3 linked regions of the Rattus norvegicus genome follow. The protein of the gene in region 1 binds, or shares a complex with, the protein of each later gene. Links are inferred from orthologs where the notes say so. Each region holds a gene or a part of one and is shown in the gene's direction. Other genes may lie near its edges.

Region 1 (3,651 bases):
TCTCTTCACTAAACAACTGTCACTAAGTCCCACCTCCCAACCTTGTCCCTTTGGTGATTGAGTCCCTAACATGAATTATGAGGGACATATGCAAACTATCTAAAATAAAAATAGATTCACTGTAATCTGGCCTCAAAGCTAACACCTTACTATCAAGTGCCTCTGCATCGTGACTTGTAATCTGAGGCCTGAGGAGATTGGTTTTGGAAATTAATGCAGTTGATGATTTTCTGCCACTGAGCCAGATCTAATTTCACGTTCAGACCTGGAATCAGGTGGTCCACTTTCTGAAGATATATTTGCAGGGTTTAAAAAAAAATCAAGAAATACTTAATAAGCCCATGTCTGTTTTAAAATCTCATCCTTCTCCATTTGTATTACTGATCTTCTCAGACGTGTCCTGAGTTAACCTATATCATTTAATAACTTAATTTGTGTCACACCGATGAGCAACAGCCATTTCCACTTAAACAGTGAATATCCAACATTTTCTATGGCTCATTGAAGTTATTAAATTTGCTGTTTTCTTTTTAGGGCAGAATTACGAAAGTATTAAATATGAAACCACCAGAGGTAAGAATACCGAGAAGGATTAGAAGGGAGCTTCATGTTTAGCACTGTGTCCATAGTTAAAACATCTTGACTGTATAAAGCAGCCTAGCTAACTATGTTGGAATGAATTACTAAGGAAAAACCAGATAGAAAAACAGTACATATGAAGTTAGTTTCTTTTCTAGCATACATTATGTGAAATAAAGAAATTTTAAGTTACCTTGAAACTAGTTGATATAATCAAGTGAATCTTTTATTTTTACTCTTGCTATTGAAAAGAGTTAAAGAGATTGTAATTGACCTTACTACTGTATATAAGGTCAAGTTTACTTTCCCTCAGGTGCAAGTTTAGTGAAAAATTGTTAAAACTGGCTAACATGTACAAATTACAATGGGTTCACAAAAAAAGAAAATCGTTTAGAGCAGTGGTTCTCAACATGTGGGTAGCAACCCCTTTCAGTGGTAGAATGACGCTTTCACAGGGGTCACATAATCAGATACTTTATGTAATATTTATGTTACTGTTCATCATAGTAGCAACATTTAGTTATGAAACAGCGGTGAAAATAATTTTATGGTTGTGTGTCACCACACATGAGTAACTGTATTAAGAGGTCATAGCTTTAGGAAGATTGAGAAAGACTGTTCTAGAGATTGGCACTGAAGAATAGAAGCTGTTTTTAAAGGTGCTGGCATGCATTTTCACTGCTTTGTTTAGTCATTAGACATGGTGTCAGACACTGCATAGAGAAAGGAAGTGTAGAGAAAGTTACTTGTCATAACTCTTAGTGCTGCAGTCAGTAAGCAAATATTCCATGCTTCAGCCTTGGAATAAAATAGTGAAGTTCAATGTAAAACAGTTGTAAGAGCAAACTTAAAAAATAGAAGCTGAGTGGGGCTACTTTTTTTTCTTTAATTGCCTTTTTTTTTAAGTATAGAATAGAGTTTATTCAGGGCATAGGGAGGGGAGTCAAGAGGGTAGTAGAGGCAGAGAAAGGTAGAGACAGAGTCTAATTGCCTTTGTATACTTATATTTGAAGGAAAATAAGAGTCAGCAGCTTGAATTTTAGTGATAAACATTGGTAAATTAGTGTAGAAGAAGGCTTGATTCAGGAACAAGAGTGAAGCTATAAATATTTCTTTAAATTAAATGTCATTGACATACATATTTTAATCTGGTTAACTTATGATATACTATATATGTAATATATAATATATTTTATATATATGTGTGTGTGTGTGTGTGTGTGTATGTTACATAGTAAAGTTCTGTTGAGGTCAATGTATTGTTATAATTAATTTTAAATTCCAATGAGACGTTGCTTTGAATTCTTAATACAATTGTTGTTTCAGATATTATCCATGATCGAAGAAGCTGCTGGAACCAGGATGTATGAGTACAAAAAAATAGCTGCCCAGAAAACTATAGAAAAAAAGGAGGCTAAGCTGAAAGAAATAAAAACGGTAATTGAAAAAGACATGAAATAGTTTTGGAGAAGAATCTTGATTTGAAGTTTTATGCTGTGAATCAAGAAAATGTTTTACTTTTCAGTTGTTTTCCATGTCTTACAAAACAGACACCTAGATGTGTTTTGTGTTGGCACCTGATTTACTGAAAATAGTGGCTTTCTTTTGTATTCTAGATACTGGAAGAAGAGATTACGCCAACAATTCAAAAATTAAAAGAGGTAATACTAATTCTTTGATATATAGTTGGAACTGTTCTCAGAATCAGTGAAAGTACTTGTTATACAAATACTGATAAAATGTCTACCACTTGAGAATTTTTCTGTGAGATGAAATGCATTCAAATTAGTACTCTAATCCAGCCTTCTCCTTGCAGTGGATGTGTATTTCTTCTATTAAATCATAATGATATTGGAGAATAGTCTTCATAATCTTAGAAATGTTAATGACAGCTTTTAATACTTTATTGAAGAATAGCAAATCCACTTTTACTGGATACTTAGTATTGACTAGAACATTTTAAAAGATAGAATTCTTAACCTTGATCTTTTCAGAGTGAATTCCTAGTATGATAGTAGCTATCACAGTAATTATCACAGTTCATTTATAACATCTTATGGTAGGATTGTGTTCTTTCTATATATTTGCAACCCCAAGCATCTTAAAACTTGGCAGTATTGGAATGTTTGTAGAACACATTGTTTTTACCCATCTAAGACTTATTAACTGCTTGATAAAATTTAGTATTCTTTAACTTTATTGTGTAGGTGATTTGGGAAGACCGAAAAATTGGCAAATTATAAATTAGAAGTTTAAGCCTAACCTTCAGATCCCACTTTTGTCGTATTCTTTCTAAATCTGTGGCAGGGGGTGGCAGTGAAGCTACTATGAATTTTTCTCTACCTTCAGCTTACAGTTTAGTTGCTGCGTTGCTTCTGTGGGTCCTTATGTGAATCAGCTTCTCTAATGTGGGGCACGTGGTTGTAGTACTTGGCCATTCTGTAGGAATCCTAGGAACACTATTGCCAATATGTTTAATAGTGTGCCCTGATGTCTATATGCACTTTGTAGACTGCTGTCACCAGTATATGAACCGTAAAACACATTTCCTTGTTAAATGGACTGCTTGTTCATGTTTTAAACACACACACACGCACACAAGGCCTTGTAGAATTCTCTACAGACAGTATAATGTTATCTTAAAAGCCAGAGTTTTGAGGTTATACTTTCTAAATGCTTTAGATAACGTCTTTAACGATAAACAAAAGTCAGATCATATAAAGAGAAATTGATCCAAGTTTGCTGTAGTGAAAATTTCCCCACATTTGCTTTAAAAGTATGAATTTGAATCACTCTTTATGGTGACTTTTCTTTCAGGAAAGATCTTCTTACTTGGAGTACCAGAAAGTGATGCGTGAGATCGAGCATCTGAGCCGTTTATATATTGCCTATCAGTTTTTGCTGGCTGAAGATACCAAGGAACGCTCAGCTGGGGAGCTAAAGGAAATGCAGGATAAAATATTAAAGCTTCAAGAAGTACTGTCAGAGAATGAAAAAAAGATAAAGGCTCTCAATTGTGAAATAGAAGAATTGGAGAAGAGAAAAGATAAGGTCAGAACAAATTAGATAAAC
Region 2 (3,651 bases), on another chromosome or scaffold:
TAAATCACATACCATTGGTTTGTTTGCCTGTTTTTTTTAAAAGGTCTTACCATTTGGCTCAGGTTGTCCTCAAACTCTTGATCTTCCTTCCTCTGCCTCCTGAGTCAGCACAGGATTATAAGGCTTGGTCATCATACCCCGGTACATTATACTTTCAAAAAAACTATACAGAGTTACATAGACATAGTAAAGGCAGACACATGTGTCCATTCATGTATGCATTCAGGAGCACTGGCATACACACACACACACACACACACACACACACACACACACACACACACACGTGCACGCTTACCCAACTACAGATCATTGTCTTTCTACATGCAAGATTATAATGTATCTCTCTGGTGGTCACATGATCAGATTATCTTTCAAAAGCAAGGATACATAGTGGATCAGAGCCCAGGGTCCATCAGGGTTGTGTAGAGATTGAAGCTTTTTGTCAAGTTCTTCAGTGTATTTCTTACTCCTTCTTCTAGTTTAGAACATAGAATTGGTGTTAATATGCATTCTGCTGTGCAGGCCTGTATGTGCTGTGGTGCTTACAGTCTGATAACAAGCCAGGCAAGCTCTTCACTCCCAGTATTCTAGTCAACTGGCAGATGGGCTTCTGTAGCTGCTCGATTTGGTATACTTAAAGAAGTAGATGAAGGAAAAATTAATGTTCAGATGTGTGTGCATTTAATGCATGCTTTTGTGTGTGTTCCTGCAGGTTCAAAAGAGGAATTTCATAGAGAATATTATTCCAATCATCATCTCCCTGAAGACTGTGCTGGAGAAAAATAAGATCCCTGCTTTAAGGGAACTCATGAACTACCTCAGGGTAAATGAGGAACTTGCCCTGTGGGGTTTTCCTCCCAAGCCCCACTGCCCCAGATTCATTGCTTAGTCTAGACAGTGAACGACAAGAACTCGGTGCTAAGAAACCTCGTTTATAGAAATGTACCGAGCAGGCTGCCAAGGGCATTGAGGGACTGAAGTGTGGCCAGAAGTACCACTGAGGTGCTCCGTGTTTCTCAGGCCACTGAGTTTTTAAAGCATATGTTCGTGTTTTGAACCTTCCTTGGGATTATGTTCCAGTCTAAAGATTTTCTCAACTAAAGCTGAGGACAAGACATTGTAAGGATGAGGTGGAAATTGGTCATCATATTTAAAGTTGGCTGTTTGACTTGCAGGCAGGAAGTCCCGGCCCCGTGGCGGTGTCATGCATGCAGGGATAAGGTGTTTTTTTGAGACAGCTCCTGTTGCTGGGTCGTCTGTAAAGCAGAGGACCATGCGAGCTGCAAAGCTGGGACGTGTTTGCTTATAACACAGCTCTGAGCAAAGCCTCGGGCGTCTGACAGAAAGCATTCAGGAAAAAATGGCATATTTTCTCCTTTAATTTAGTAGCTTTTTCTTTGTTCACATTTGGTTTTCTTCAAAAAAAACAAACTTGCCGCTAGCAAGATAGCTCAGCAGATGACGGTGCTCGCCAGAACCCGCACACCACCAGTCAGTTTTCCTCTGACCTAAAAGGGTTTTTTGAAAAATTGGAAAAGCTCCTTAAAGGGCTATAGCGAAATTATCCTAAATATAATTTTTCAGATAGTTTTGCATCCTAAGGAAGATCATATAGGAGAGCTGAGCTCACTTTACAGAGAACATGAGAATTTGGGGGTTTTGTTTTGTTTGTGACATACTCTTCCCCCCCCACCCCACCCCACGCCCCGGGCACCCATGGATAACGTTGCTTTGGACACGAGTCACTTCCAGGCTATACAACCTCTGTGACCTCTACAGGGTCCTCTCCCATGAAGCATGGCAGTCAGACAGGCACCTTCTGGTGGGACCACAGCCGTAAGCAGAAACTAAGTGTCGTGCTCACCTGCCTGTGTGCTCAGTGTCCCAGGAAAATGTCCTGGGACTGAGTGACCTGCAGCAGATCTCCGAGTTTGGGGCTGGGCTGGTCTGTGGAGTAATTCCAGGACAGCCAGAACTACACAGAGAAACTCTCATGACGGGGAGGAAAGGGGCTGCCGTGCGGCTTGGGCGGTCTGCAACTCCTGCCCTCCAGGCTCACCAGCTCTCATTTTGGAGTTGGAGTTGTGCACCATACCAGTAAGGCCTCGCTTTTTATGGAAAAAGGCACTAAAGGATGCTTCTGGGTCTGTTTCAGGAAGTAATGCAGGATTACCGCGATGAGATCAAAGACTTCTTTGCAGTGGACAGACAGCTGGCGTCTGAGCTTGAGTATGACATGAAGAAGTACACTGAACAACTGGCCCAGGAGCAAGCTCTGACGGAGCATGCTAATGCCACCAACGTGCCTGCAGACGGGGACAGGGTCCCCTCCCAGCAGGTGGGGATGGACACACCAGTAGCCCAGTCAACTTTGCCTGGAGAATTGTGGGAATCCTCGGAAAGCAGGAGTTTGTGCCGTGAGCTCCGTAGCCACCTCCTGCACCTCTCCGAGTCTTATGTGTTGTTTCTCCCTGAAGAGCTTATTGTCTGCCAGAGCGTTTCTGAGTATAGCTCACATTCTAGCTTGGGGATTCCAAGTAGATGTGCTGTATTAAAAACTGAGAGACCAGCCTGCCTGGCATCTGTGTGGCTGTCCCTGTGCATTGGCTGTAGAGTGGACTGCCTGTGCACTTCTAGCAAACAGTGATACTCTTGTGCACTCTCCTGATAGGTTGCTCCAGACTTACAAGCTGTACCTGGCGCTGCTGCCGCCGCTGGTGCTGGCCAGGCCGATGCTAACATGCCTCTGCCTCTGGCCCAGAGCCAGCCTTCAGCACCTGGGTCCAGCTTCACACCAACTTTGCCTCCTATATGCGAAAAGGGACCTCTGAAGATAATGTCCAGTACCAGGTAGGGAGCCCACTGAGCCAGCAGCAGCCCCAGTCGTGGCATTCTCACGGCATCTCCACATTCCCACCAGGCCAGAACTGCCTCATCACTAACCCCTCACACCACGAGCCTCCCTGGGGGCTGGAAGAGAAGACGTGGGTGGGAAACGATGCCCCCTGCTGGTCTGACTCGGAGTCAGCTCTGCCATCTTGTCTCTGTAGGCCCATGTCTCTGAGTACCATCGCAATCCTGAATTCAGTCAAGAAAGCTGTTGCGTCTAAGAGCAGGACACGCAGTTTAGGAGCCCTGTCTTTCAACATGGAGAACGGAAGCCCAGAAAATCCCTCCAGCCGTGGTAAGCCTTAGGGTTGACATCAGGTGTATTGAGCATGCACAATTCAAAAGTGAGTCTATGCCTCATTCCAAATGTTTTCTGTTGTCCTGAATTAATTGGAGGTGAGAAAATGGACTTTCCTCTGCTGAGGGGTTTGGGGAATGGTGTGAAGTCAGCGCTCTCCCCACATCACGCCTGTGAGGCATGCAGTGAAAATGCCTCCTAGAGATTTTCAGAACTCTTGTCCCAGTGGCTTTATAGTGTCCCACCTTAAACTGGAAGTCCGGGACTTCTGTTACTGCCCTATTCGTGAAAGCATTGATACTTTCCTATTTTGTATGTAAGTGACACAGTAAAACAGCCTCGTAGGTATAGCCTTGTATGGGAAATTATTTCCAGTGGCAAAGGCCAAAGAAAAAAAGTAATTGAAACACACACGCACACGTGCCTGTACACACACGCGCACACGCATGCACATGTAAAAC
Region 3 (3,751 bases), on another chromosome or scaffold:
TTTTCCCCAGAGGCAAAAAGCTCAGTAAGGGATAAGTCCAGTCCTTGGTGGCTGACAGGAGCATTCAGGAAGGTGAGGAACACCAATCTTTTCTCCCATAATCTACTGCTGTGGGGTGTCCGCCAGAGAGGGCTGCTTGGAGGTGGGTCTTTGTTAGCTGACTGATGCCCTATACTGTGTGTTCAGGATCCAGTGTAGCCCTGAGCCTTTCTCATGGTGAACTTTTAAGAACAAAACCATGTTCTGGGTTGACACACTTCAGTTAACGAGAACTGTTAGCGAGAAGTGGAACTACAGAGGCTAAAAAGCAAGGTTAGAACATTTAGAGACTTTGATAGATTCTGTCTTTGTTTCCCTTTGGCAGGTGCTCCTACCTCCACGATGAGTTTAACAGTCCAAATTGTCATGGAGTCAGTGCTGCTAAGGTCTGGGGCCGGTACACCAGGCTGCCTCATTCCAAAGTAGTTTTGCAAATCCATGCAAAAACTAAATAGCTTTCAAGAGAAGCTTTTGGGAGTTAGAGAAGTAGCTTGTTGGTCCAGAGTACTTGTTGCTCTTGCAGGAGACCTGGGTTTCATTCCCAGCACCCACATGGTGGCTCACAAACATCTGTCACTCCAATCCCAGGGGATCTGACAGCCTTTTCCGGTCTTCTTGGGTACCAGCCATGCATGTAGTAAATGCACACATACTCAGGTAAAACACTCATTCACATCAAATGAAATTTTTTTTAAAATTAGCTTTCAACAAAGGGCAGAGCTTTGGTTTCCCAAATGAGGGGCACCGATGACAGTAAGCAGGCAGGCAAATGGTGTAAAGGATGTTAAACAGCTACACCCCAGGCCTCCGTTTAAAAAAGGGTGGTAGGCAGCTGGCCTCCAAAAAGCCTTTTACAAGAATCTGGACAAAAGCTTCGTTTTCAAATGTATGTACATGCATGTGTGTAGATGTATGCTTTGGTGCAGATACACATGCTCACACAATGCTCTGATATGTGTGTGTATGGACGTGTACACATACATGCAGACAGAAAGCTCTCTGGAAGTGTATACACGTATATGAACTGTACTGGGCGCCCACACGTGTCAACACAAGGCTCTGGGGTGTGTGTACACACATGCACACACAATGCTCTTGGGATGTATACATACACAATACTCTGGGTGGAGTGTACACATGCATACACAATGCTTTACGTTCCTTCTTGCTTGCCTGGAACTTCAAGAAGGATACCGTTTTCTACCCACAAAGAACATGTCTTTTAAGACAATGAACCTCCATCCCTCAGAAACCTGCCTCCCCATTACAATCCAGATTCTAGGAAAGTACAGCCTTTGCCCGCCCAGATCTACACATCCTACTCGGCGCCCAGCGCTCGGCCGCCAGCGTTTCCAAACGTCATCAGCTAGGTCACCGCTGCAGCTAAGCTCACTTGCTTAGACTTCAATGAAGGACTTCCCGCCGGCACAGTTTTTAATCAGCCGCCTGGGCGGTCTGCGCAGGCGCACCAAAGGCCACTCCCCCAGGGGCGTCACGCGGCAGTTACCGCGCTTGGCGCTCACGATTTAAAACTTAACTACGGAGACGTGGAGAGCAAGATGAAAATCCCACGCTCAGGTGAGCTCGAGTGGGTCGAGGCGCGGCTGTCAGGATCAGGACCGAAGGGTGCTCGCGTGGGCAGGTCCAGAAGGGACGAATGTGTTCGGCGGGGTTCAGCCGGGGGCTGTGGAGGGGGAAGGGAAGACAAGCCGAGGGAAAGCGGGGCGCTGGGCCAATCAGGGTGCAGCTGCCAGTGGCGGCCAGGCTCTAATGCTCCCCGCGCCCCGGTTCCAACGGAGGAAAAGGTTGGGGGAGTGGTTCTGGACTGGACGTTGTGTGGGGAGCTGTGGAAGCATAGGGTCGACCGTTCTGTGTTGAGCACTCGTGCCTGTCTTTTGGAACTGATTCAAAAGTCTTGAGGGCTCCCTTTGGGACAGACCTTGGTCAGATGCAGAAATTCGCAACCGAAGAAGCCTGGGCACTTGAGTTGGAGACTGGAGGATCAGAAATTCAAGGTTATCCTCAGCTATAGTGACTTTGAGCTAGCTCGGAGCATCGTGTCCAAGGGACGAGCCAGGAAGGAATCTGAACTGGTCTAGGAATTACTACACTGTATGTTCTCAACCTTTGGGTGACAGTCCCCATGGGGAGGTGTCAAATGACCTTTCTACAGGGTTCACCTAAGATCATCAGAAAACAGATGTTTACATTAAGATTCATAACAGTAGGGGCTGGGGATTTAGCTCAGTGGTAGAGCGCTTACCTAGGAAGCGCAAGACCCTGGGTTCGGTCTCCAGCTCCGAAAAAAAGAACCAAAAAAAAAAAAAAAAGATTCATAACAGTAGCAAATTTACAGTTATGAAGTAGCAATGAAAATAATTTTATGGTGGGGGGGGTCAGCACAATATGAGGAACTGTGTCAAAGGGTCACAGCATTAGGAAGGTTGAGAACCACTGAGCTAGACCATTATAACTAAACTTAGTGAGACTGACAACAGGCAGGACCTGGTAGGCCTAAGTTAGAGTTTTCTAATAATAGTTTCATTTTGAATTTGTTGCTTGTGACTTCCTGGAGAGGTGAGGTGCACAGGTGAGAGGGTTTCTACTGGATGAGTTTGACAGAGGTCCATAGGCTGAGAGGTAGATTTGTTTTTCTCTATCTCGGGGATCGTAAAGCCATGGGTCCAGGTGGGAACACCAGACAGACATTGTATTGAGTACATTCAGGACCAGCAACAGGTGGCCGGGTGGGAGGAGGGCACTGGAAAAAACCCAAGTTACAGGTATCACAGGAGCCAAGAGCAGCTCAAGAAGAAGAGACAAGTCCTGAAGTGCCCACTTCAGGCTGAGAACTGAAGCAGAGCAGAGGGGCTGAGTGAGTGGGAGGAAAAATCAGGCACAGGAAGTGCTCTTGACTTCAGTAACAATCCATTGAGTTAGATGTATACCGCCCCCTGCAGAGAACAATGGGTGGTGGATTTAAAGAGCTATCCCTCAGTGCTTCCAGTTTCTCAATTCCTTTCCTTATCCACATTTACAAATGTCTTGATTTTTGCCCACAAAACATCACATCTGCTCTCTTGACGTTTTTGTTTTGTCTTGGTGTTGGATGAGAGTTGTGTAAACTATACCCTTGTAAAGTTTTTGGACTGCCTTTTCCTTCTGCTGTCTGTGGACAAGCATTTGTTTGTTGGGTCTCTTTGTTTACTTTTGTGGTATAAGTCTTGTGCCATGGCGTGTGCATGCCAGGCAAGAATTCTATATGGCTCTATATTCCCAGTCTCCTTTTATTTTTTTCTGTGTGCCTATAAAATCTTATTGTGCACATTGAAATCGCATTGTATCGCCTGTTGGGAAACAGCAAAGTCAGCTCACTCTCTGGGCGTTCTCTCCTTCCCTCCTCCCATTTTTCTCCCTCTCTCCTTTTCTCCCTTTTTCCTTCCCTCCCTCCCTCTCCCTTTCTCTCAGCACGTGCCCACCCAAGGAGAAGAGCTAGGCAAGGACTCTTCCACCAGCCATAGCCAGAGCCAGGTGACGTTCCTCCATTTGGGGCGGTGTTGAAGCAGATACAGCATAGAGACAGATAGCTTGTTTGCTTACCTAAAGTCTTCTTAATATGCGGTGAAGCCACGTTTAAAACAATGCTCTTTGTTTGTTAAATCGGGGGTAGGGATTAGGATGAGTTAGGGTTCCTTTAACTCCTCCCAGGAAT

What was found.
Region 2: the proteins of Smc2 (region 1) and Ncapd3 are in contact, whole or in part, in a cryo-EM structure (PDB 9F5W), measured with the Homo sapiens proteins. The link is inferred for Rattus norvegicus from reciprocal best matches to the Homo sapiens genes SMC2 and NCAPD3. Residues at the interface, in NP_001036015.1 of Homo sapiens: Arg112, Ala122, Asn123, Asn124, Thr125, Arg126, Leu218, Lys222, Arg225, His229, Trp940, Asn942, Ala943, Glu944, Phe948, Arg981, Met985, Arg986; in NP_056076.1 of Homo sapiens: Asp31, Met72, Ile80, Pro127, Gly128, Ala131, Phe135, Pro137, Asp141, Lys235, Gln237, Gln240, Leu1121, Asn1196, Asn1200, Pro1203.
Region 3: Smc2 (region 1) and Ncaph share a complex: the UniProt entries of both Homo sapiens proteins name them as parts of the condensin complex. The link is inferred for Rattus norvegicus from reciprocal best matches to the Homo sapiens genes SMC2 and NCAPH.

Annotation. Positions count from the first base shown.
Region 1 is NC_086023.1:71,608,836-71,612,486, forward strand, and holds part of Smc2 (structural maintenance of chromosomes protein 2), read left to right. Parts: intron 1-534; coding exon 535-573; intron 574-1,905; coding exon 1,906-2,016; intron 2,017-2,195; coding exon 2,196-2,240; intron 2,241-3,396; coding exon 3,397-3,630; intron 3,631-3,651. UniProt on the Homo sapiens protein: Central component of the condensin complex, a complex required for conversion of interphase chromatin into mitotic-like condense chromosomes.
Region 2 is NC_086026.1:33,755,187-33,758,837, forward strand, and holds part of Ncapd3 (condensin-2 complex subunit D3), read left to right. Parts: intron 1-715; coding exon 716-826; intron 827-2,158; coding exon 2,159-2,341; intron 2,342-2,674; coding exon 2,675-2,853; intron 2,854-3,053; coding exon 3,054-3,187; intron 3,188-3,651.
Region 3 is NC_086021.1:134,850,279-134,854,029, reverse strand, and holds the start of Ncaph (condensin complex subunit 2), read left to right. Parts: upstream 1-1,527; 5' UTR 1,528-1,598; coding exon 1,599-1,617; intron 1,618-1,770; exon of another isoform or gene 1,771-1,987; coding exon of another isoform or gene 1,988-2,054; exon of another isoform or gene 2,055-2,151; intron 2,152-3,751. UniProt on the Homo sapiens protein: Regulatory subunit of the condensin complex, a complex required for conversion of interphase chromatin into mitotic-like condense chromosomes.